Cricetulus griseus: one gene and its partners. The protein of the gene in region 3 interacts with the protein of the main gene of each other region in a biochemical or structural test. Links are inferred from orthologs where the notes say so. Each region holds a gene or a part of one and is shown on either strand. Other genes may lie near its edges.

Evidence for each region.
Region 1: of the proteins of tyrosine-protein kinase ZAP-70 (region 3) and Lat, one has a biochemical effect on the other in vitro, tested with the Homo sapiens proteins (2 studies listed by BioGRID). The link is inferred for Cricetulus griseus from reciprocal best matches to the Homo sapiens genes ZAP70 and LAT.
Region 2: the proteins of tyrosine-protein kinase ZAP-70 (region 3) and Erbb3 form a complex in vitro, tested with the Homo sapiens proteins (2 studies listed by BioGRID and IntAct, with this or other methods). The link is inferred for Cricetulus griseus from reciprocal best matches to the Homo sapiens genes ZAP70 and ERBB3.
Region 4: of the proteins of tyrosine-protein kinase ZAP-70 (region 3) and Lcp2, one has a biochemical effect on the other in vitro, tested with the Homo sapiens proteins (2 studies listed by BioGRID). The link is inferred for Cricetulus griseus from reciprocal best matches to the Homo sapiens genes ZAP70 and LCP2.

Annotation. Positions count from the first base shown.
Region 1 is NC_048596.1:74,436,798-74,442,854, reverse strand, and holds the start of Lat (linker for activation of T-cells family member 1), read right to left. Parts: upstream 3,559-6,057; 5' UTR 2,879-3,558; coding exon 2,776-2,878; intron 2,574-2,775; coding exon 2,546-2,573; coding exon of another isoform or gene 2,440-2,545; coding exon 2,405-2,439; intron 2,188-2,404; coding exon 2,100-2,187; intron 1,961-2,099; coding exon 1,896-1,960; intron 1,813-1,895; coding exon 1,783-1,812; intron 1,698-1,782; coding exon 1,634-1,697; intron 1,565-1,633; coding exon 1,470-1,564; intron 1-1,469. Other genes in the region: Spns1 (protein spinster homolog 1), read right to left, coding at 3,932-4,026, 4,363-4,534, 4,826-4,924, 5,135-5,200, 5,546-5,735, 6,046-6,057. UniProt on the Homo sapiens protein: Required for TCR (T-cell antigen receptor)- and pre-TCR-mediated signaling, both in mature T-cells and during their development.
Region 2 is NW_023276806.1:129,314,956-129,320,730, reverse strand, and holds the start of Erbb3 (receptor tyrosine-protein kinase erbB-3), read right to left. Parts: upstream 3,559-5,775; 5' UTR 3,441-3,558; coding exon 3,251-3,440; intron 1,752-3,250; coding exon 1,692-1,751; intron 40-1,691; coding exon 1-39. UniProt on the Homo sapiens protein: Tyrosine-protein kinase that plays an essential role as cell surface receptor for neuregulins.
Region 3 is NW_023276807.1:11,427,790-11,431,862, reverse strand, and holds part of tyrosine-protein kinase ZAP-70, read left to right. Parts: intron 1-350; coding exon 351-489; intron 490-580; coding exon 581-674; intron 675-747; coding exon 748-789; coding exon of another isoform or gene 790-791; intron 792-949; coding exon 950-1,003; intron 1,004-1,320; coding exon 1,321-1,513; intron 1,514-1,982; coding exon 1,983-2,189; intron 2,190-2,830; coding exon 2,831-3,023; intron 3,024-3,112; coding exon 3,113-3,253; intron 3,254-3,351; coding exon 3,352-3,464; intron 3,465-4,073. UniProt on the Homo sapiens protein: Tyrosine kinase that plays an essential role in regulation of the adaptive immune response. Regulates motility, adhesion and cytokine expression of mature T-cells, as well as thymocyte development.
Region 4 is NC_048600.1:49,225,217-49,231,055, reverse strand, and holds the start of Lcp2 (lymphocyte cytosolic protein 2), read right to left. Parts: upstream 3,559-5,839; coding exon 3,481-3,558; intron 1-3,480. UniProt on the Homo sapiens protein: Adapter protein primarily involved in signaling pathways within T-cells, as well as other immune cells such as platelets, mast cells, and natural killer (NK) cells.

The DNA of each region.
Region 1 (6,057 bases), on a different chromosome or scaffold from region 3:
TGCCTCAAACAAAACAAAACTCACAAAACAAACATAGGCAAGGTACAGACATAATATTCCAGGGTAAATACAGAAGGCTGGGTATTCCTGAATTAAAACTCTAAAATTGAGAATATTCCAAAATCCCAAACCTTCTAAGTACTGGTGAGAGGTAACAAGTGGAAAATTCCACATCATGAAATTTTGGTTTCATGCAAAACATTAATTAAATTTTGCATAAACTTCCTCCAGGGCTGAGCATGGTGGCCTTTAATCCCAGCACTCGGGAGGCAGAGGCAAGCAGAGCTCTGTGAGTTCAAGGTCAGCCTGGTCTCCAGAGCGAGTGCCAGGACAGCCAGGGTTATATAGTGAGACCTTGCCTCAAAAAAAACAAAACAGAACAAAATCCTACTTTCAGACTATATATACACACATAGAGTGTGTATATAAATATATATGGTATATATAAAAATAAATGAATTAATTCCATGTTTAACCTTGAGTTCTACCCACAACAGAATTCATTGTATGTCTATAAATATCCCCAAATCTGTGTGTATGTGTTTCAGGTAAGGGACAGCTGTGATATACAGAGAGAAGAGGTAGAAAACTGAAGATCACCAAACCCTAGGGAAAGTCCAGGAAAAAAAAAGCAAGAAGGAAAAGAGACCAAAGCAAAAAATGCAGCCCAAGAGAAACAAAGACCACATGGTAAAGCAGAAGGAGCTTCAGTGAGAGAGTGTGAGTGAGTGAGAGACAGGCCTACAGAGACAGAGAGAGAAACAACCTCCAACCAAAGACCTTACAGATACATTAGACGATATCACTTCCATGAAACAAGAACAGGGTACTTAATAAAAAGGACACCAAGCTGGGCAGTGGTGGCGCACGCCTTTAATCCCAGCACTCGGGAGGCAGAGGCAGGTGGATCACTGTGAGTTCGCGACCAGCCTGGTCTACAAGAGCTAGTTCCAGGACAGCCTCCAAAGCCACAGGGAAACCCTGTCTCGAAAAACCAAAAATAAATAAATAAATAAATAAAAAAGAACACCAAGAATCGTCCCTCTCCCTCCCCAAAAAAGAGTTTTCCGACAAAAGAAAAGAATTTTTCTTTTCTTTTTGTTTGTGGTAGTGCTGTTTTGGTTTTTGAGACAGGGTCTCACTGTATTGTCCAGGCTAGCCTCAAAGCCAACCCTCCTACCTAGATCCCTCGTGCCAGGGTTAAAGGCGCATGCCTACACATCCAGCTGAGAAATACGATTTCAGTGGAAAGGTTAAAGAAGAGTCAGGGAATTTCTTAGACAACAGATAAAATGATAAGACAAAGAGGGAGGGAAGGCAAAAGGAAAAGCAAGGTGATCAGAAGTGAGGAGCAGGAAGTCCAAGATCTGAGGGAGGAAATGGAAGGGTGGCGATCGCAGAAATGAGAGGGAAGAGAGGCATAGCCGGCGGCACATGGCGGAAGGAGGTAGTCAGAGACCCTAACTCACTGGAGAAGGCGCTGTCTCGGAGACCAGGGTTGCTGGGCACGGGAGCAGAGGAGACGACAGGAATGGCGGCAGGGGTGCTGTCAGGAAGCACCTCTCTGGAAGGAAGGGATGAGGAGGTAAGAAAGGGCACCAACTTCCACTCCCACCTCCCACCCCCCACTCACAGGTAGCCCTCATTGGGGTAGTCATCCTCATCTTCATCTTCAGCCGCATTCTCACAGGCTGGCTCTATGAGGAATGAGAGAGAAGTCAACGTGACCTGGGATAGACCCAGCCTCCCCACCCCACCCAGTACCCCAGACCCTAGACCCACCCTGGTTCTCGTAGCTCGCCACACTGTTGGCTTCAAAGAGAGAGGGAGAGGAAGATGGAGTCAGCTGAGGCTGCACACCCTCTCCCCAGCCCTCCAGCCCTGTACGCCCTTACCATCATCCGAATCCTGCCGGGAAGACGGCATCTGATGGGAACCTCCAAGGGGCTGTGGGGATCTCCTGGAAGTCAAGGGTCAGGGACCAGGTCTAAGTAGGAATCTGGGGGCAAGAGGGGTTACAACAGGGAAAAAGCCACCCCCCCATCCTAAAAGGTAAGGAGGCACAATGGATCAGAGGGAGGGAGCTGAGGGGTACTCACGGAATGGGGAGCAGGTCTGGCTGCCTCAGGGGTGGGAAGGAAGTAACAAGAGGATAGGAAGTGGCAGTTGTTCGGGGGAAGCCTGTTTCTGAGGACATAGAACCAAGCTTGAGGGAATTACTCCAGACAACCCCCCTGCGGGTGACAAGGCCTCTAAGGACAGATGTACCCCTAAAAAACATGTGCTAAACAGGCATGGGGGCTCCAACTTTCCCCCAACCCAGGCAATAGTCCTGCAGGCATCTTAGCGGGACAAAGGCACACTCCCAAGAACCCTCAAAGAAGGCCAAGGACACTGAACTCACGAGATGGTTTGATGAGGATGCTCCGTGGATAAAAACTGGCAGGAAAGAGGCAGCTTAGGTACAGGGCCAAGAGGGCCCCAGCCCCAAGCCCTTCATCAGAACAAAGGGAAGACACACAGGGAAATGGGACTGCACACTCACCTCTCTGTGGAAGCACTGTCATAGGAGACTGGAAGAGAGAGAGCCAATGAGGCAGGATCAGAATGCACTGGGAGCAAAGACAGTCCCATCCCGTCCCGTCCCGTCCCGTCCCGTCCCGTCCCCCCCAGGCAGGACTGAAGTATGGACAATTAGAGGAAGCCGGGGGCTGGGGAAGGCATGGGGATCCAATGGTGTGCCTAGCATCTAGTACTCCACAGCTCCCCACTTACCTGGCAGCTCACGGCAGCGCACACACAGGGCAGCCAGGAGCGTGACCAGGACAGGCAGCAGCAGGAGGCCCAGCCCCATGGGGCTCAGAGTGTCTGCTTCCATCTGCAGAGCACCTGGCCCAGGCCCTGCTGCACTGCAGCCCCTCTAGGCAGAGTGGCAGCAGGGGTGTGGGACTGAGTGGGCCCCAGCCTGGGATCCAGTGGCAAGCAGCTGTGTCCTCCTTTGGGGTTCAATGACCCCCACTTCCTTGCTAGACTGAGTTGAGCTCAGTGCTGGAAGAGGCTAGTCCTAAAGCCTGAGCTGGGGCCTGTGCCCCAGCTACCAGCAGCACGATCCCTGTGCCCAGCTGTACCTGCCCCTTTCTTGCTCCCCGCTTGCCTGCCTCTCCTCCTCACCACCCGCGTGCGACAGGAAGCTGTGGTGAGGGCAGGAAATCATCAGGCTCCTCAGCCGGCTGCGCCTGCCCCCTGCCCACTCACCCCCACCCAGCTGTGGGAAGGGGGAGGAGGCAGAGGGACCTTGTGAAGGAAAGGTCTGAGGCTGCAGGATGAGGCAACTGCTCCACTAGGAAGGCAGACACATGCCAACCAGGCCAGCTGTGGCCTCCCCATCTCTGAGCACAAGAACTCTAATGAGGTTCTGCCAGGGACTGTGTGGAACAAGGGCAGCACTGCCTCCACCTCCCAGGCTTGCTTCTGGGAGAACAACTTCCAGGGGACCACAGTGACTCACGGTCACACCGAACCAACTCACTCAGAAAAGAGCAGTCCTCCTTCTAGATGGCCCAAGCGCAGAAGACAGGGACTTACCCACAGGGTGACCCGACTGCCCCTGGTAAGTAAGTCCTGAGACCACAGACATTCCCTGAAGCCAATGGCACCCGCAGAGAGACAAGCAGCCAGTCATAGTCTGCTTACAAATTTTATTCCATTACAAATAGCACCAAACCCCTTGGGCTGCCCTAATAGACAGGACAACCCCCACTTCTGGAACCCCATCTCTTCCCTGGGCTGCCCATGTAGTGTTTGGGAGCTGGGACATATCCCAGGGCTTCTTCCTTGGACCTGGACCTGGTGATGGCTTCTGCCTGGGCACCTCCCAGGGTGGGCCCAGGGCCAGCTGTGGTGAACCTGTGGCTGGGTGAGCAACAGCTCCTCAGATGAGCACGCTGGACACAGGGACCCGGGTAGAACGGCCTCGCTGAGGCACCACAATCCGGTCATCTGAGGGTCCTGTCTCATGCAACAGACCTGTGGGGAAGGGGTCGGAGCCAAGGCCAGTCACATAAAAGCCATCAAGGGGACAGGAGACAAACAGGCAGAGGGGCATAGACGAGACAGCAGCAAGAGTCCTCAGAACTGTGTATAGACAGAAAGCCTGATGATACACTTTAAGACAGACTGAAAGCTGAGTGGGATGGTACTGGGAAGCTGGTACTATCAACCCTGGCAGGTGGCTGGCAGCATGGGCCTGGGTGGATGGGACAGCTGTGGACTAAGAGATGTGGGGCGCATACCTGTGAGCCAACAGATGGACAGACTGACAGGTGATACTGTGAATATGGGGTGACAGTGGCCCTCACTGACCCTGCATGTGGAGTTGAGCCCGTCGGCGGTCATCCTCAATGAACATGGCAGTGCCCAGGAAGGCCGCACCACCCAGTGCACCAACAAAAGCGCAGAGCATGAGCGAGAACTGCAGGGCCCGGAACTCAGACAAGAAGGAAGCAGGCCAGCTCCGTCGGAGGCGGTCAGAAATCTGCTAGGACAAAAAGAGTCAGAGACCCAGGGACGGAGAGGCCTGAACACCAAGAAAATGAAAAATGGAGCCTAGAAAGAGGAATGGTTTGAATCACAGGGTGAGACCCACAGCCCCACAGGTAAAACCTTTACCCAGCTTCCTTCCCAACCACCAGAGGCGCTAAGGGTGAAAGAGCCACAGGTGGCTATTGCCTCAGTAGGTCAGACTATCCCATCCACCAGCCATCTGCCAGAGTAGGGAGTACCAGGTCCCGATACCATCCCAGCCCAATCACGGGACAGTACTCACTAGACCAATGAGGTAAGGGCTCCCAGCATCACCTAGCAAATGGGACAGCACGATCTGGAAGGCCTCAGCAGTGGAGCGTCGAGTTGGGATCACCACATACTGGGGGGAAGGGGAGATTCAGTAGGGGTCCCAGAGAAAACAAGGCCAAAGCCCAATGTGGGCCCAAGGCAGGCCCAGAGTCCCCTCCGTGGCTGGTCTCTGAAGTACACATGTGGCAGAAGTTTGAAGGGGAAAGGCCAGGATTCAGATCAAGTGTCATCTCCTGATCCTGATAGCCCTGCTCCCTTCAGCCTCTACCCAGCTACTCACCAGTAGGATGTCAGCCACGATGGCCCAGTTCATGGACAACAGGGTCTCCCCAATAAAGATAAAAATCTGGATGGCGGAAGAGGGAGGGAATCACATGACCAGGCTTATTAGCTCACTTAGTCCCCATCATATCCTGTAAGGCAGGCGCTAGCCTCAGTACCACTTTACACCAGAGGAAACAGAGGGGTCATGCTGCTTTGCCAGTGGCACCCAGCTGGGAAGGCCCAGGGCTGAGATTTGAAAGGAGGCATTCCACCTTCAGTCTGCCCTGAACTACTCTGCTGGCTGACCCTGCACATGGAGTTAGCTGCTGGCAGCCATCTTCAGTGGACATGGTGGTACCCAGGAAGGCCATACCACCCTCCTGTCCCCATGCAAAAATACCCACTAGACCCCTGGAATCTCACTCACGTAGGTGGCCACGATGCTACCTCGGGCACAGGCCAGGGACAGGAAGAGGAAAGGCGCGGAGCCCAGGAGGCCAGCAGCACAGACCAGTGGGTCAGCCCGAGGATTGAAGCGGCGAAGGCGGCGGCTGATCTCCACACCCAGTCCCACACCCAAGACTCCAGTCAGGCATGTGATGAGTCCAAAGATGAGACTAGGGGTGAGCCCAAAGATGAGACTCCCTCCCTGGTGTATTCTACTGCAGGCACACGGGAGCTACTCCTCCCGTAAAGCCCTCTGACCCAGCGAGGACAGCCCACCCCAACTGTCCTCATACCCAGATCCATCCAGCACAGAACCCCAGAGCCAATGTGTTACCTTATCACATGGTTCTCAGAACCGGAAACTGACACTCCAAGAGTGGAGGTAGCTGGTAGAGTCAGAATTCAAACTCTCCTGGTCTGAATCTGGATTCCCCTTATGTCCCCCACATGCAGTCACCCCACCTAGCCCTTCCCACGTACCTGTCAGAGGAA
Region 2 (5,775 bases), on a different chromosome or scaffold from region 3:
AAATGGAGGTGGGGCAGTCAGGTAAGCTAGATGTCCCCTCTATATAAACCCCTCAGTTGCCCTCAGTTACATTCGGTTGCCTCTGACCCTGCCCACTAGAACTCCAAGGCTGGGGTCTCCTCACTTCCACGATCCCCTGGCCATTCCAAACAGAAAGGTGAAATGTGTGCTTTTCCTCACCAGGGTCCCCAATGGACCTCTTTCAGGGACTAATTTGGGCACTGAGGGGTTAATACAGAAGGAAGACATCAGGGGACTTTTCCTCTCCCTGGAAAGGACACATTAGGCAGGGATCAAACTTTGATTGCCCTCTCCTCTCCTCGTCAACTAAGGCACTTACTTCTCTGCCCCCATCCTGCCTCTCTCTAAGGCCCTGGAATAAACATCTCTTTGGGGCTAGCACACAGCCCCTATTGTGTCTACAGAGGGTGGGATGGGGGCAGTGCCTGGGGCCACACAGTTCAGCCCACAATGAGTCGATTCTATCCAGGAGGAGGGGGCTGCCCCACCCTATCCCAGACACCCCATCCTCAGCAGCACCCCCCTCTTACCCCGGAGCTTTGGGCTCAGACAAGTGACCTCACTTCAGGGACAAGCCCTGGTAGTAGGGTGGGGGTCAATGGGAGCTTTGTCTCCAAAGCTGGATAAGGAGCTGGCGACCTCCCCTTTCCTGAATTCTGGCTTCTCTTCTACTCCCTTCCCCTAAGCCAACATGCTCCAGCTCCCCCAGCACCTCTCCAGCCCCGGAGAGAAACAGAACAGACCCTTCACACCCTCTGAAGCCTTCTTCCCAATTTCACTGTCAGCAGGATTCATTAAAGACTTCTAACAGTGGCAATGCTCCTCAGCAGGAGAGATGGCTCCAGGGGAGAGCCAGAAGAGTGGCCAGTACACTCCAGTCTCAGGCTTTCACTTTCCTTTGTAAAAAGGGAAGTCTTGGTCCTTGGTGCTCTATGGATCTTTCCTCTGACACAGAGGAAGAGCATATGGGGAGGGTAGAGGTAGGGGTGCGAACCACCTGCTTTCACCACCCTTCCCTGAGGCAGGGCAAGAGCATAACAGTGGGAGAGAGAGCAGAGGCCCCAGCTCCTCCTGCTACATACACCTCTGGTCTGGCCCCTTCTTTAAGATCCTTATCCCTAGGCCAGCACTTGGGAGGAGGCAGGCTGATCTCTGTGAGTTCGTGGTCAGCCTGGTCTACAGAGCGAGTGCCAGGATAGACTCCAAAGCTAAACAAAGAAACCCTGTCTCGGAAAACCGATAAATAAATAAATAAATAAATAAATAAATAAAGCCCTCTTCCCTATCAGTCTCCATAACAGAAAGAGTGAGCTATTCCCAGCAAGGAGGCATGAACAGCCTGGAGGCTCCCAGAGGCACCTGGGAACCCCAGGGTCCTCGGGCTGAAGTGAAAGACTAGGAAGGTTAGTCATTTCTGAAACTGCCCCACCCCTGTCCCCTTCCTGGCAGGACACCCCTCTGCCAACCCTTCTCCCAGATAAGGGAGGAGCTAGGATCTCTGTATAGGGAAGTGGTGTGTACGTGTGTTGAGCACTGCCACACCGTGCACAACTGGTGCACCAACATGTACACAGTTCCCCGGCTCAGAAACATATATCGCTCTGGCCCTGCCTGGAGTCTGTATTGAGACGTATCACAAGTGGCCAGCGCATCCCATCTGCCCACAGTACCTTGTACACCTTGCGTCTTATGCTTTGCAAGGGCCTTACAGGTCTCGGTTACCTGCCACCCTGAGGGCAAAGTCCATATTTCACAAACAGGGGCAAAGGGCCTGGGCAGGACGGGAGTATAAACAACTACCCAGGAGGAGCCAGGCAACTTGGGGACCGGCGGCAAGGAAGCAGCAAGAACTGCCTGTTGGTGGGACCTAAGCTCAAAGAGGAGCGATGTCAGAGCCCTTCTTATATGTAGAGCACAGACTGGGGTTGGACAGAGCAAGAACATGCAGCCCCTCAGAAGTCTCCCCTCCACTGCCCCAGCCACACACACAAGGGGACAAAGGGGCTATACAAGGCTTGAGACAGGGCCGGATGCCCAGAGGCTGCAGGATAGAGATAAAGGGTAGAGAGAGACTCAACCATGCCTGCTCCCTGCTTCTCGGGGAGGGTGGTGGGAATCCCGGACTCCTGGGTTCCTGGTTGGGGGGGACAGAGGGGGAGAGAGCACACAATCAGATGGAAGAGTGATCCGGTCACTCCCCTGGCACCTCCCCCTCCAGTCTCCAGACCACCCCCTCCACCAGCTGGGAGTGTTCACGCCTCAAGATCCCAGGGGCTAAATTTAGGCCCAGCAACTGTGGGGGAAGCACAGGTGGTTTCTCCCACTCCCACTCTGGGGAAGGGGCCCTGGCTGTACCCCAAGATGAGATGGGGTGGGCGTGAAGCGAGATCAACGGGACTCGAAGTACACCAGCCCCAGAACTCTCCAGGTGCCCCTAGTCCCAGAGACAGCCAGAGGAATGGGCTCAGACGGCGTGGAATGGGGGTATAGAGAAGTAAAATCTAGCCTCTGTCTGAAGTTAGACAACTGAATGGGGGAAGGGAAGAAGTTGGGTCTAGGAGCGAGTTCACGGAATAGGATGTTCAGAAGGTAGGAGAGAGAGAACTAGGGCTAACTGTCCTTTCCCCCACACCTGCAGCTCAGGAAATAGTACAGTACATAGTAGATGCTCCACATGTTAATTGAATTGACCCGGCCTCGGTAAAGAGAAACTGGCTAAGTTGGGGACCAGCTTATCTTGTGGGAAGGCAGCCAGCCAGCCTCCGTGAGGCCTCTCACTCTGAAGTCACCTGGACTTGGCCCTCAGGTTAATCTCAGCCTTCTCAAGGCAGCCCCACTCACGGAAGAGGAGGTGCCATTCTTGTTTTTCCAACATCAGAAAACAACAACTTCAACCCTTGCATAGCTCCGCCCTGCCGGCAAAACAACGAAACTGGGGGTTGCTGAAACCTGGGGCGGGTGGGGTGGGGACCAGGGAGCCAGAGAGCAAACCGAGACCCTTCAAGTCAAGGCTCCTCGGGTTTGCAGAAGGGTCCCTGCCCGCCCTCTCTGCAAGGCCCTCAGATGCTGTCCACATCAACCTGATCAGAAAAACACCAATCAGAGGGTCAGCGACGCCCCGGGGGAGAAGGGGAGAAGGCATCCAGGAATGCAGTCCCTGCCCAGCCCACTCCGAGAATCAAGCCACACGCTCCCCTCCAAGGTGGTCCCGGTAGACTCGGGGTCGCACCCCGCAGTTGAGCGCGCCAGAACCCGAACCCCTTGCCCAGGGTCTGCGCGCGCTCAGGTCGCGCTCGCTCTCCGCTTCCAGCCGGCTGAGGCTCCCCGCGCCGCTTACCTGCCTGAGAGTTGCCCATCTCGGAACCCCGGGTCAGGCTGAGAAGGAAGCCCAGCACCTGCAGAGTCCCAATCGCCCTCATGATTGCAGCGGAGGGTGAAGGGAGCCCAGCCGAGTCTGGCCCGGGGGCCCCTGGGTTAGGACATCGAAGCGACAGCCACCTGAGCAGCCCGGCGCATAGGTGGTGGCGGCAATCGGAGATTGCAAACTGCAGCAGGAGCCGGAGTCGGAGTCCCGAGCGGGACGGCAGAGGAGGGTGTCTGTCTGGGAAGGAGGGACGGAGGGAGGGGAAGGGGGAAGGGGGTGTGAGTCACGGCCGCGCCCCCTCCTGTGCGAGGCTGGAGTCGCCGGTGGCTGCAGCCTGGGACACCCGCCCGGAGCGCGCCCCGCCAGCCCGCAGCTTGGCCAAGAGGGTCAAGGAGGGGTCTCACTCTAGCAATTTCCCCCGGAGATGGCTAAGAAGACATCAAGAACCCAAATGTCCCCGGGCCGGGGAAAGGTAGTGGATGCGGGTGGGGAGAGCGCCAAAGCCCAGCCCCCTGAAAGCTGGCCTCGCCCATTAACCAAATCACCCAACTCCCCTAGCCGGTTGGATCACTTGAGGGGTTTGTTTTTTTCTTTTCTTTTGGAGTGTGAATATTTCTACTTTTCTGAGTGGGAGGTTGTTTTTTAGCCTAGAGTCCATGCCACCTCCCTTTCCCCGGTACGCAAAGCCCCATAACTCAAGTATCCGGCCCGGGAACCCGAGCCCCGGAGGCCGCGTGAAATTGCACTGTCTCCGGCCGCTTCCTCCCGCAGACCCGGCGCCGGCCCGGCCTCTCGGGGGGATTTGTTTGGGGGGCGGGGGTGGTTTCCAGCCTGGGAACATACCCCGGAGCCCGCCTTCCCACTTCTGCCCTGGGAGGGGCTCCCGCACCTGTCGCGGTCCCCTCTGCTGCCCCCCACGGCCGCCGCAGAGAACAGCTGTCTCTGACCGAGTCCACGCCGGGACGACCGACCGACCGCGCCGTCCGTCCGTCCCGCCGTCCGTCTGTCCGTGGTTCCCGCCTCTCTTCCACCGTCGCCACCGCGGCGCTCACACCCGGAGGGGACAGTGAAGAGGAGCGCAGAGAGGTGGCTACAGAAGGCGCCTAGGAACCGCACAGCTCCCGGGACCTCCCGCCTCGCATACCCTGGGTTGCTAGGTCCCGGGCGGGTCCGACGGGCGCCTCCTGGTGCCCAGCCCGTTGCATTTCCCATCCCTTAGGTTGGCATTCCACATCTTGCCTGGAGAACTTACTGTCCCTTGCCCCTGGGCGAAAGCTACTAGCTAAAAACCTTTCTTTTGTTTTTTTCGTTTTGTTTTTTTGAGACAGGGTCTCATATAGCTCAGGCTGGCCTCGAAAAACCAAAAAAGAAAGAAAGAAATGCTGGGTCATACTTTGAGCCCCTCCCCTTCTGTCACCATGTACCACATAGATACGTAGATTTGGAGAAAATTTACAAAATTCACACAAACACGTGACCCAAACCCACAAAAAAAAAAAAAAAAAAAAAGAATACATGAGCTAGGGATGTCACCTCATCTTTTCAGAACTGGAAACTTGTGAATTTTCTCCAGATCTATCTATGTGATTCATTGTGACAGAAGAGGAGGAGCTCAAAGTTTGACCCAGGATTTCCCTCTTTCCTTTCTTTCTCTCTCCCCGTCTTTCTTTCTTTCTTCCTTTCTTTCTTTCCTTTTTTCTTTCTTTCTTTCTGTTTTCTTTCGGTTTTTCAAGACAGGGTTTCCCAGTGTAGCCTCGGTTGTCCTGGAACTCGCTCTGTAGAACACACTAGCCCCAAACTCGCAGAGATCCACCTGCCTCTGCCTCCTGAGTGCTAGAATCAAAGATGTGGGCTACAACCGTTCAGCGACCTAGGGTTTCTTATGATAGTATACCAAGTCTTCATCTGGTCATATTCAAACTCTTTCCAGGGCTGGGATGTAATTCAGTATTCAAATGTTGCTTAGCTGTAGGCATGGATTGAGATTCGATAGCCAGCACAACAGGGAGGAGTACCTCCCATCAGGTGACAAGGGCCTTAAGGGCCTCCTGTCCCACCTGCATACCCCCAATCAAATAGTTTTCTTTTGTTGTTGTTGTTTTCGAGACAGGGTTTCTCTCTGGCTTTGGAGGCTGGAACTAGCTCTTGTAGACCAGGCTGGTCTTGAACTCACAGAGACCCACCTGCTTCTGTCTCCCGAGCCCTGGGACTAAAGGCGTGTGCCACCACCACGTGGCTTCACATCATCACACATTCATCTCAATTTGATGGGTGTGCTGGGCAGTTTTATGTCAATCTGACACAAGCTGAAGTCATCTTCGAGGAGGGAACATCAATTAAGAATATGCCAGCCAGGTGGTGGTGGCACACAGCTTTAATCACCAGTACTC
Region 3 (4,073 bases):
TGTCTCCCAGGGGGTAGCAAACATGTCACTACTGTGGAAGAACAGGTGGCCCTGTGTATGGATGACCCACCCCATGGCTCCATGTCCACTATGGGCCATTAGTGTTCCCCTGTGAAGGGATACAAGTCTGCCCCTGGATTATCTCCTGTACACTCAGCATTGGCCTCTCTCCACCATGGTCACCATACAAGTGCAGCGGTTTGGTGGCACCCACCCATGGCTTTCTCATTCTCTGCTCCTGCTTCGTGAGGTTCTGGGTGTGCAGACCATGGCACCTGTGTTAGTAGAGGGAACCGAGAAACAGGAATCTCCCCATTGCTGTAGGGATGACGCCCTTCCTCCCCCTCCAGGCTGAGGCCCCGGAAGGAGCAGGGCACATACGCACTGTCCCTGATCTATGGGAAAACTGTGTACCACTATCTCATCAGCCAGGACAAGGCTGGCAAATTCTACATTCCTGAAGGCACCAAGTTTGACACGCTCTGGCAGGTAGGCCCGCCATGTTCCAGGGAGAGCCCTGTGGTGGGGTGCTCAGCTCCTGGGGGGCTGAGAGGGCCACACCTGACACCCGTTTCCACAGCTGGTGGAGTACCTAAAGCTGAAGGCAGACGGGCTTATTTACCGCTTGAAAGAGGCCTGCCCCAACAGCAGCGCCAGCACCGAAGGTGAGGGGGGTCAGAGGCGGGAGACGGACAAGCATGTAGGAGGCCATCTCCCGTACCCACTGTCCCTTCTGTTCCCCAACAGCTGCAGCCCCCACTCTCCCAGCTCATCCATCCACACTTCCTCAGGTGAGCCAGGGTCCCTTAGAGTTGAGACTTGGGCACTGGGTGGATGACTTCAGGGAGCTTGGGGTGGAGGGAAGATTGCTATGGAGGGGACGGTTCCTGGGGTGTCCTCAGCAGGCATGGGTCCTCCCTGGCAGACTGCTGCTGACCCTGTGACTTTTACCCTCAGAGACGAGTTGACACCCTGAACTCGGATGGATATACCCCTGAACCAGGTGAGCTGGTGGAGGTGGAGGTGGAGGTATGGGTTGGCTTATGCCCAACTGAAAGCAGGGTCCCTGGCTGGGCTGTGGGACTTAGCAAGAGATGACAAGGCTAGAGCCATTGACAGGTGCCTGTCCCATGCACAGTCATGCCTATACCCAACATGCCTGTCTGTATGTCTGTATATCTGGTGCATGCTGACACACGGGCATGGGTAAATCATGGTCTGTGGCCATGGGTCTGGTGTGGCTGAGCTTCCCTTGCCCTCTACATCCTCTGCCGCCCTCCTTTTTCTGATGTGGGAGTGCATGACTGTGTGTGTGCCCAGCGCGCCCAGCATCCTCAGGCAAGCCACGGCCGATGCCCATGGACACGAGCGTATATGAGAGTCCCTACAGTGACCCTGAGGAGCTTAAAGACAAGAAGCTCTTCCTGAAGCGTGAGAACCTCATCGTGGCTGATATTGAACTTGGCTGTGGCAACTTTGGCTCAGTGCGCCAGGGGGTCTACCGGATGCGCAAGTATGACCCACCACTTCTGCCAGGGCGGGGCCATCTGAGTCAGGAGCAATAGGAGCTGGGGCATCTGTCTCGTGGTAGCTTGCCTGAGAAGCAGACTCAAGGGTGGGATGTGACATGCTGGACCCTTATGTGGAAAGCCTGGGGACACCTGAGAGGGAGACACTGCCCTTTGCTAGGGAGGGCTTGGCTAAGTTGAAGTTATGGCAGAGAGGGTAGTCCTGGCCCCTGTGTTGACAGGCTATGGCATACATGGAGGTTCTCCCTGGGGAGGTGTCTCAGGCTGGGGGAGTCCCAGGCATCTTGGGGAGTGGATGTCCCGGCAGCAAGCCAGGGGATGTACTGTAGAACTCAGGGGACAGGAGAGGCAGGTTGGGTGCGTGCTTGCCCGGTTCACACCGGCACTGCGTGTGTGTGTGTGTGTGTGTGTGTGTGTGTGTGTGTGTGTGTGTGTGGCTGTGCCCCTGGGCAGGAAGCAGATCGACGTGGCCATCAAGGTGCTGAAGCACAGTACAGAGAAGGCTGACAAGGATGAGATGATGAGGGAAGCCCAGATCATGCACCAACTGGACAACCCCTACATCGTGCGGCTCATCGGCGTGTGCCAGGCCGAGGCACTCATGCTGGTCATGGAGATGGCAGGCGGCGGGCCCCTGCACAAGTTCCTGCTTGGAAAGAAGTGAGCCTGGGTGGTTGGCTGCTCACAGGGTGGGGGATGGAGCTGGGAGGGCACACACACGCACGCACGCACACACACACAAGCACGCACGCACGCACACACACCATGCATGCACACACACACACACACACACACACACATGCGCGCGCGCGCGCGCGCACACACACCACACACACACACACACACACACACACGCACACATGCACACGCACGCGCACACACACACACACATGCACACACACATGCGCGCGCACACACATGCACACACACACACACACACGCATGCACACACACATGCGCGCACACACACACACACACACACACACACACACACACACACACCACTTGCCTTTACTCCTTCATAGACATATGCCTGCCCAATGTGTACTCTGATGCCCACACTCATACTCCAAAGTAGGACTCCTGACTGTTTCTCCATGTGCACCATGGAGGTGATAGCAGGATCTGAGCCCAGGGCTCCTGTGAACACTGAACAAACTGATGCTTACGGAGCACTCGGCATCTGGCACTACTGACAAGAACTTTCTAGATGCCAGCCCTCTCACTGCTGCCCTGATTTTCTGTGCTGCACCCATGCCCCATGGGAAATGAGGCTGACTCCACCTTCCCCTCTGCCCCAGGGAGGAGATCCCCGTCAGCAACGTGGCTGAACTGCTGCACCAGGTAGCCATGGGCATGAAGTATCTGGAGGAGAAGAACTTTGTGCACCGTGACTTGGCAGCCCGGAATGTCCTACTGGTCAATCGGCACTATGCCAAGATCAGTGACTTTGGCCTGTCCAAGGCACTAGGTGCTGATGACAGCTATTACACGGTGAGTGCCACCTCAGTAGTGTCTAGGTGGAGGTGGTTGGTGGGCCAGAGGTCCCGGGCTCCTGTCCTAGCAGCACCTCCCTTTTTCAGGCCCGTTCCGCTGGGAAGTGGCCCCTGAAGTGGTATGCTCCAGAATGCATCAACTTCCGAAAATTCTCCAGCCGCAGTGACGTCTGGAGCTATGGGGTCACCATGTGGGAGGCTTTCTCCTATGGCCAGAAGCCCTACAAGGCAGGCTGGGCAGAGCTCAGCAGTGGTGGGCTGGGGAGGGGACCAACGTGAGGGAGCCGGGATCCTCACACTTGCCTTTTTGTCCCTGGCCTGAGCAGAAAATGAAGGGCCCTGAGGTCCTGGACTTCATCAAGCAGGGCAAGAGGATGGAATGCCCCCCAGAGTGTCCGACCGAAATGTATTCACTTATGAGCGATTGCTGGACCTACAAGTGAGTTCCAGATGGGAGCGGGTCTGGCCATTCAGTCCTGGGACTGGAGAAGAAGTCCTCATGCCCAGTCAGTGTCACCTTCACTCTATCTAGTATTCTAGATAGAGTGATCTATCTGTGGGTGCTCCCACAAAGATCCCACCTGCGTCTCAGTCTTTCTGAATTCCACCTTTACTCCATCCCCTCCATACTTAGCCCCTCCCCGCCCCAGTACAATGCAGCCACGGGCCCTGCCACCCTCGGCACACAGATCCAACAGTACTAGACCACCACAGCTGGGCTGTCACCCAGCAGGTGCTCCAGAACCGGGATGAACTTCCAGTACTCAATTCTCAGCCCCTACAAGATGACACTCAACGTCCAATGTCTCGAGGAAGCCATTCATGCAGGACCCAAGTCATTCAACTCCCATCACCCAGCCCCACCCAAGGCAGATGACAAGCAACACACACAAACAAGGGTCACCTTATAGCAATTATGAAACATGGCATTCCAGCATTTGATACTCCACAAAATGACACAACATTGACTTTAAAACACTCTAGCTTACAGGTTCATTCACCCTATTTAAACTCATGTTAATTCAGGCTCCTTCAGAAAACACCCAGG
Region 4 (5,839 bases), on a different chromosome or scaffold from region 3:
GGGATGCTCTGCGTGTAGCAGGCCCTGCTCCCACCCCAAAGCGGCTGTAAGTCACTTAATCCTCCAGTTTCATGTGTAAAAGATGAAGAGACACAGAGAGCTCAGGAACTTGCATAGGTGGAAGGTGACACAGGTGACAACTGAGCTTTAGAACTTGCCTTTAAAGTTTCCATGAGGAATAGTTTTTAAGCAACATCACTAAAGTGAATAACCAGGGGTGTATCCAAATGCACTGTCTGGTAGCTTACACTGCACAGTGGACATTCTTTTGCCTAACTTTTTCTATGGAAAGTAACAGAGGTAAGCAAGCATTTGTAAGGCTTTGGTCAGCTATTTTTCAAAGTTAATCTATGACTGTGGTGCACCCACCTTGCCTTGTCCTTAATAGCACAAAACTTCACACCAGACATAGCTCCAAGACTGAGATCTAATGGATTTAAGGTGAAATATTTTTCTCTGAGGCCCTCACAAGCAGTTAGTTCAACCTTCTTTGGAGGAACTTTTAAAACTAATTTCTTATCTATGACCCCCACCCCGAAAATAATGTGCAAAGTAAACAAATATGGGTGTGGTGGCACACACCTCTAGTCTTAGCACCCAGGAGAATGAGACAGGAGGACAGGATTGCTGTCAGTCCAGGAGCAGCCTGGGCTGTACTCCAAGAACCTGTCTCAACAATAATAATAATTTTAAAATGTAATTGCTGTCACCTACCTATCTAGAAGGGCAGACTGAAGACCAACTTGGGAAGTTGATTTATAGGTCAATGTCGAGGGCAGGCAGCATCTGTAGCATGGTGCTGTCTCCTTGACCCACATGCACAGTGTGTAGTGGGCTTTTGGAATTGTCAGCTTCCTTTAATTCATTTCACTGCCATCACTATCAGATGGATTGCCATTTCTACAGAGTACCAGTTTTGACTCTAAACCAAAGCTAGAGCTCTAGCCTTGAACCTAGTCAGTTGATGCAATTCAGCAAGATCTGAGTCTTGGACCTAAAATCTGTATTTCAACAAGCACCCTAAGTAATTCTCACTAGCACCTAAGTTACCAATCTTAGCCCTAACCAAGTAGTTATTCAGCTTTGTAGGTGACAGGAACTGGGGCCCAGAGAGAGAAGGATCTGGCTTAAGGTCATACAGTGAGGCATAAACCCAACAGAGTTAGAACACATGCTTATGAGCCAGTGACTAGACTACATAGCCCAGGACTAGACTGCTCTCCTGCTAGGCCTAAGCCACTTGGAGGCATTAGGGACATGCAGACTGTGGCCTTAATCTTGATTTTCATCCCCAGTACAGGGCAAGACACACGTATCTGAGGCAAAAGGAACACAAAGCCTCACCAGCCTGTCTCAGCCTTCCCAGTCAGATTCTGATTAGAAGATCGGGATAAGGGGGTAGAACATGGAACTCAATGCCTCACACACATCTCCTTTCAACCTCACCTCCATCTCATCTGGTTAGTTACTGCTAATACCTCTATTTTATGTAAGTTGAGGTTAAGAGAAGCAAAGAAATTAAAGAAAAATAAATCCCCAAGCTAGATGGGAAGGGCACAATTCAAACTAAGGTGTATCTGACTCCAGAGCTGGGTAGAAGTCTCAGCGGCCCAACCCAACATGTTATGTAGACATTACACTTGCTGGTCAATTCTTTAAATGGCACACTGACATCCAAGAGCATCCTTAAGTGGCTCTGTGTTCATTTCACAGAGTATCTTCTTGGGGACCAATGAGCTCAGGGTCCGGAGTCTCATCTGTGTTTGTGGCAGGGGGCTGGTCCTTCTAGGATCATCAATCCCTCCCCCCACCCCCAGGTTCCTTGTTCCTACCCTTGAGTCTTTCCCTCCAGAAGGTGAGACCTGTCCCTGGAATATAGCTCTTACTAAGGTCCATGATCAACAAGAAGAAACCTCCTCATCTCTTAGCTCAAGCAGAGTGGTGTCTGCTTGGCCTGTGCTAAAGGGAACTTGACCCACACATTATCTGTAGCACCATGGGATTACATAATATCCTAGTTACACTTGAATGTGGGGCCTTTCTATGCCTCTTGGTCCCTCCCCAGACTTCCCTGCCTTAACTCTCAATTCCATTCTCACTGATCTATTGAAACAATTCACTGCTTCACTCCACCATGGCAAATTTACCTTTCTGCCCTAACTTACTTCATTTTTAGTTAAGAAAAGTAACTTTAAAACATACTTAAAAAGTCAATTGTCTCATCATATTTCCACCCACTGTGTTGAAAGAGAAGTTTATAATGACCCTATGGGGAGAAAGTAACAAAAATAAGATTTACAAAAAAGTGGCAAATACCAGGATCTGTGGGGCAGTCTCCTACCATGTCTCGTCCAGTACAGACTTCTGTAGGTTGGGAAGGCACCAATGTGTATATTACAGGTTTGATTATACAACCCAAAGAGACTTTTCTACCCCTTGGATCTCCATTTCTTCAGAAAAAAATAGAAGGCAAAGTAGACGACTTGTATGGTTTTAGCTTTAGGACCTCATCTTCATTACTGCCTGGAATATCAGTGGAATGTGAGACCAGCCTGCAGAAATGGGGACAATAGAAGCTCCTGTTTTCATAAGACCCCTTATCTTTTCTGCATGGGTGCCTTAGAGGAGTCGGGTGTCTTAGGATATGCCTAAGCAGATATGTGGTCCTCATTAGCAGATAACTGAACAAGGACCCTCGACTATCTCCTCCTAGCCTAGAAGCAGGACACTGTGGTCCAGCTTGACTTGTAAGTCTGCTGAGCTTGTCTGTTGTGTCCCTAACTATCCTGGGGCTCATGTCTGCTTTTCTGGCCTGCTTTCAAGGATTCTCGTAAAGCTCTGGTGAGACTCCAGCAAATAAAGAGACTCTTGCCCTCTTACAAGATCATGGACAATGGATGCCCAAATACCATTGTTCATCTAGCCATCTGTCCACCCCTCTTGCCCTGCTTGTCCATCCCTCCTACCCCAGAAGTACATATCTCCTTTTCTAGTAAGTAGACTTCACCATAACCATTCCCTGCATTTCAGAGCATGTGCTATAAAGCTAAATAGGCACGATTTCAATCCAACCTGATCCAGTAATACTCAAGAGCTTTGGACCACTTAAACTCAAAAGCTGACTTCAGTTGAATGAAATAGTGATCTTGAGATGCAACACTGTCAGTGCATAACATTAATATGTTAACACTGAACTCACATTATATTGGACTGTGTCTTAAAGGACAGTCTGTGGAGCACTGGATGCACACCTGTGTGTAGTAGGGGCTTATGCACTGGAGGGCCCTCTCCCTATCTTTCTCTACAGGACACACTGCCCATAAACTTAGTAATCTGCCTCCCAGGAAGGTAGCAATTGCAGGTGGTAACTCTGCAGCTATCTTGTACACCTTCCATATTCCATCCAGATTCTGCTTCCACTCTGCCCACCCTGCTGAAGGCATATGAGCCCAACCAGAAGCACAAGAGTGAAGGACTCACCTTCCTGAAATAATCAGCGAGGCTGTCCGGGTTCCAGGCTAAGACCTCTGAGCGAAAGGGCACATTCTTCAAGGCCATGGCTGCTGTTCGGGGAGCTCACAGGCTGGGGAGAGCTGCTGCAGCCATGAACAGAGACCCAGAGCACTGAGGTGTCCTTAGCTCTTCCAAATCCCAACTTCACTCAGGAACACCCTTGTTGAACAGGCACCGTTTCTGCTGTAACCAGATCCCAAGAAGCAGCGGCTTCCCCTGTGAACAAATATGGTCTCTTCTCAGAAAACGGCTCAGCTAGTTTCCTTTACCACTTCCTCTGCTGACTTCTAAATAAGTAAACAAGGAAGGCCAGCTCTGGCCAGCTCTCTTAATGCAGAGAAAGAGAGAGAGAGAGAGAGAGAGAGAGAGAGAGAGAGAGAGAGAGAGAGATAATTCCCTAGTAGTCCAGACACTCTAACCAAGTGGGGACTTAAACCCAGTTCTAATAGTTTTTTTCCACTAGAATTCTAGACACCCAAAGCTTGACACCACACTCCCGCATGACTGGGTCTACACAGATAAGAGTCTCTTTTGAAAGTTCCCTAAAATTGTCTATAATATCATCCTCTAGTGAACTGTGGGGGAAGGAAGATGTTCTCTTCATGTTCTCCAGCTTCCTTCCCCACCAGTTTGTTTTTATTGAAAGCTGAGGTACCTTCAGCTGCTTCTCCATGTTAAGATGAGTGAGTGGGTTTTGGTGAGTGAGGCAGCCAGGTTCTGAGTGGTGAAGGGTGTGATGACGCAGAGGACTATCTACATTTCTGATATGAATGTGTCTGTACTGTAACCTTGGGGCATGGAGTGACTGAAGGGACCAGCTCAGGACACCCCAAGTCCAAGTTCTCAAGACAAAGGATATTTACTCACCCCAGAGGGACAAAGAGGAGGGAATAAGAGACAAAAATGAGAAATAGAGGATGAGGGAGAAGGGAGAGAGGGGAAGGATATTTGCCCTAGACTGGAGCAAATGACTGCCTCTGGATAGAGAGGAGATAGACCTGACCGATAGGAAAATGTGGCTTATGAAGGTAAAAGGGAAAACCCTGTGTTAGGATGAGGTGTTTAATTTTATTGGGAGTGTTAATGAGGTGAGCCAAAGGGGGCTTTTGATTTCAATACTTTGATAGCTGGACAATGGTAGTCAGCCTCAGGAGGAGGAAGTGAACCTAGCTTTAGGAATGTAATCTAACAGTTTCTGGCAAGGCAGAGGCAATGGGGGGAAAGGACAAGGCCTGCTAGAGCCATGTTTGTCATGTTCGGACTAACTAGAGTCCCTTCAGTGACAGTGTAGGTAACTAGTTTCCATATCTGCAAGGCAGGAAAACAAAGGGCTTATGCACATACATACACTTTGATGCCTTTGCTAGGCAAATGTAAAAATAAAAGGGTTAAAGCATTGTTGTTATTGGTGGCACAATGCCTTCCATACACTGTGCTTTTTCACTTTATATTCTGTCTACTATCGTTTCTTCCATTTGCTATTGAGTCTACCAAATATCTAGCCAAAGAGTGTGTTCTCTGAGGATAGGAGATGGGAATCTGTTGCATCCTCCTTCAGTTTTTGACTCTGAACAGATCTCATAGACTGAAACAGTCTTTAACAGTGAGTGAGACCTGAGGCTAAAAACAAATGTATTGGTACAATATGGCAACCTGTAAACACAGTATAGCCAGTGTTCCATATGTACATACACATACATGCCTATAATATGGGGATGCACAGACTCACACATGTGCATAGCTCTCTATTCCAATGTGAGAAGGTTTCTCAAGGGTAGCTTTAGTCATGTATGCTTTCCCTTTTATACACACTACAGGAGGCCTTGCTGCCTCTAGTAGCTGTCTCATTACCTGTTTATGAGTTTAAATGAAATACAGATGAAGTGCCAGACCCAGCCCTGGCAAGTGGTCCATGATGGTGATCTGCAGAAGGCATTAACCCTGGTAACTTACATTAAATGGTCAACAATTGATGATGCTCAATGGACCACTTCCCTGCTTCTCCAAAGCTCCATGACTAGTGAGAGACATTACTTCATTCTTCAAATCAGCAGCCAGCCATGATGGAGGCAAATTACTTTCAAGTAGAGTAAAGAAGACATCATGGGGTGAACTGGGCTCTAGGCAGAGCCTTGGGGGGTGGAGTGGATGGATGAAGATTCTGGACCTCACTCAGTCAATCAGTCAAAGTCTCTCAAAATAGAGAAAGGAACATTCCAGATCATCCTTAAAAGTAAAAGCAACAGTGGGGGTTTTGTTTTGTTTTGTTTTGTTTTTGGTCAGCATTGTGTTTTTTAATATTGTTCACCCAACTCAGGGTTTAAAA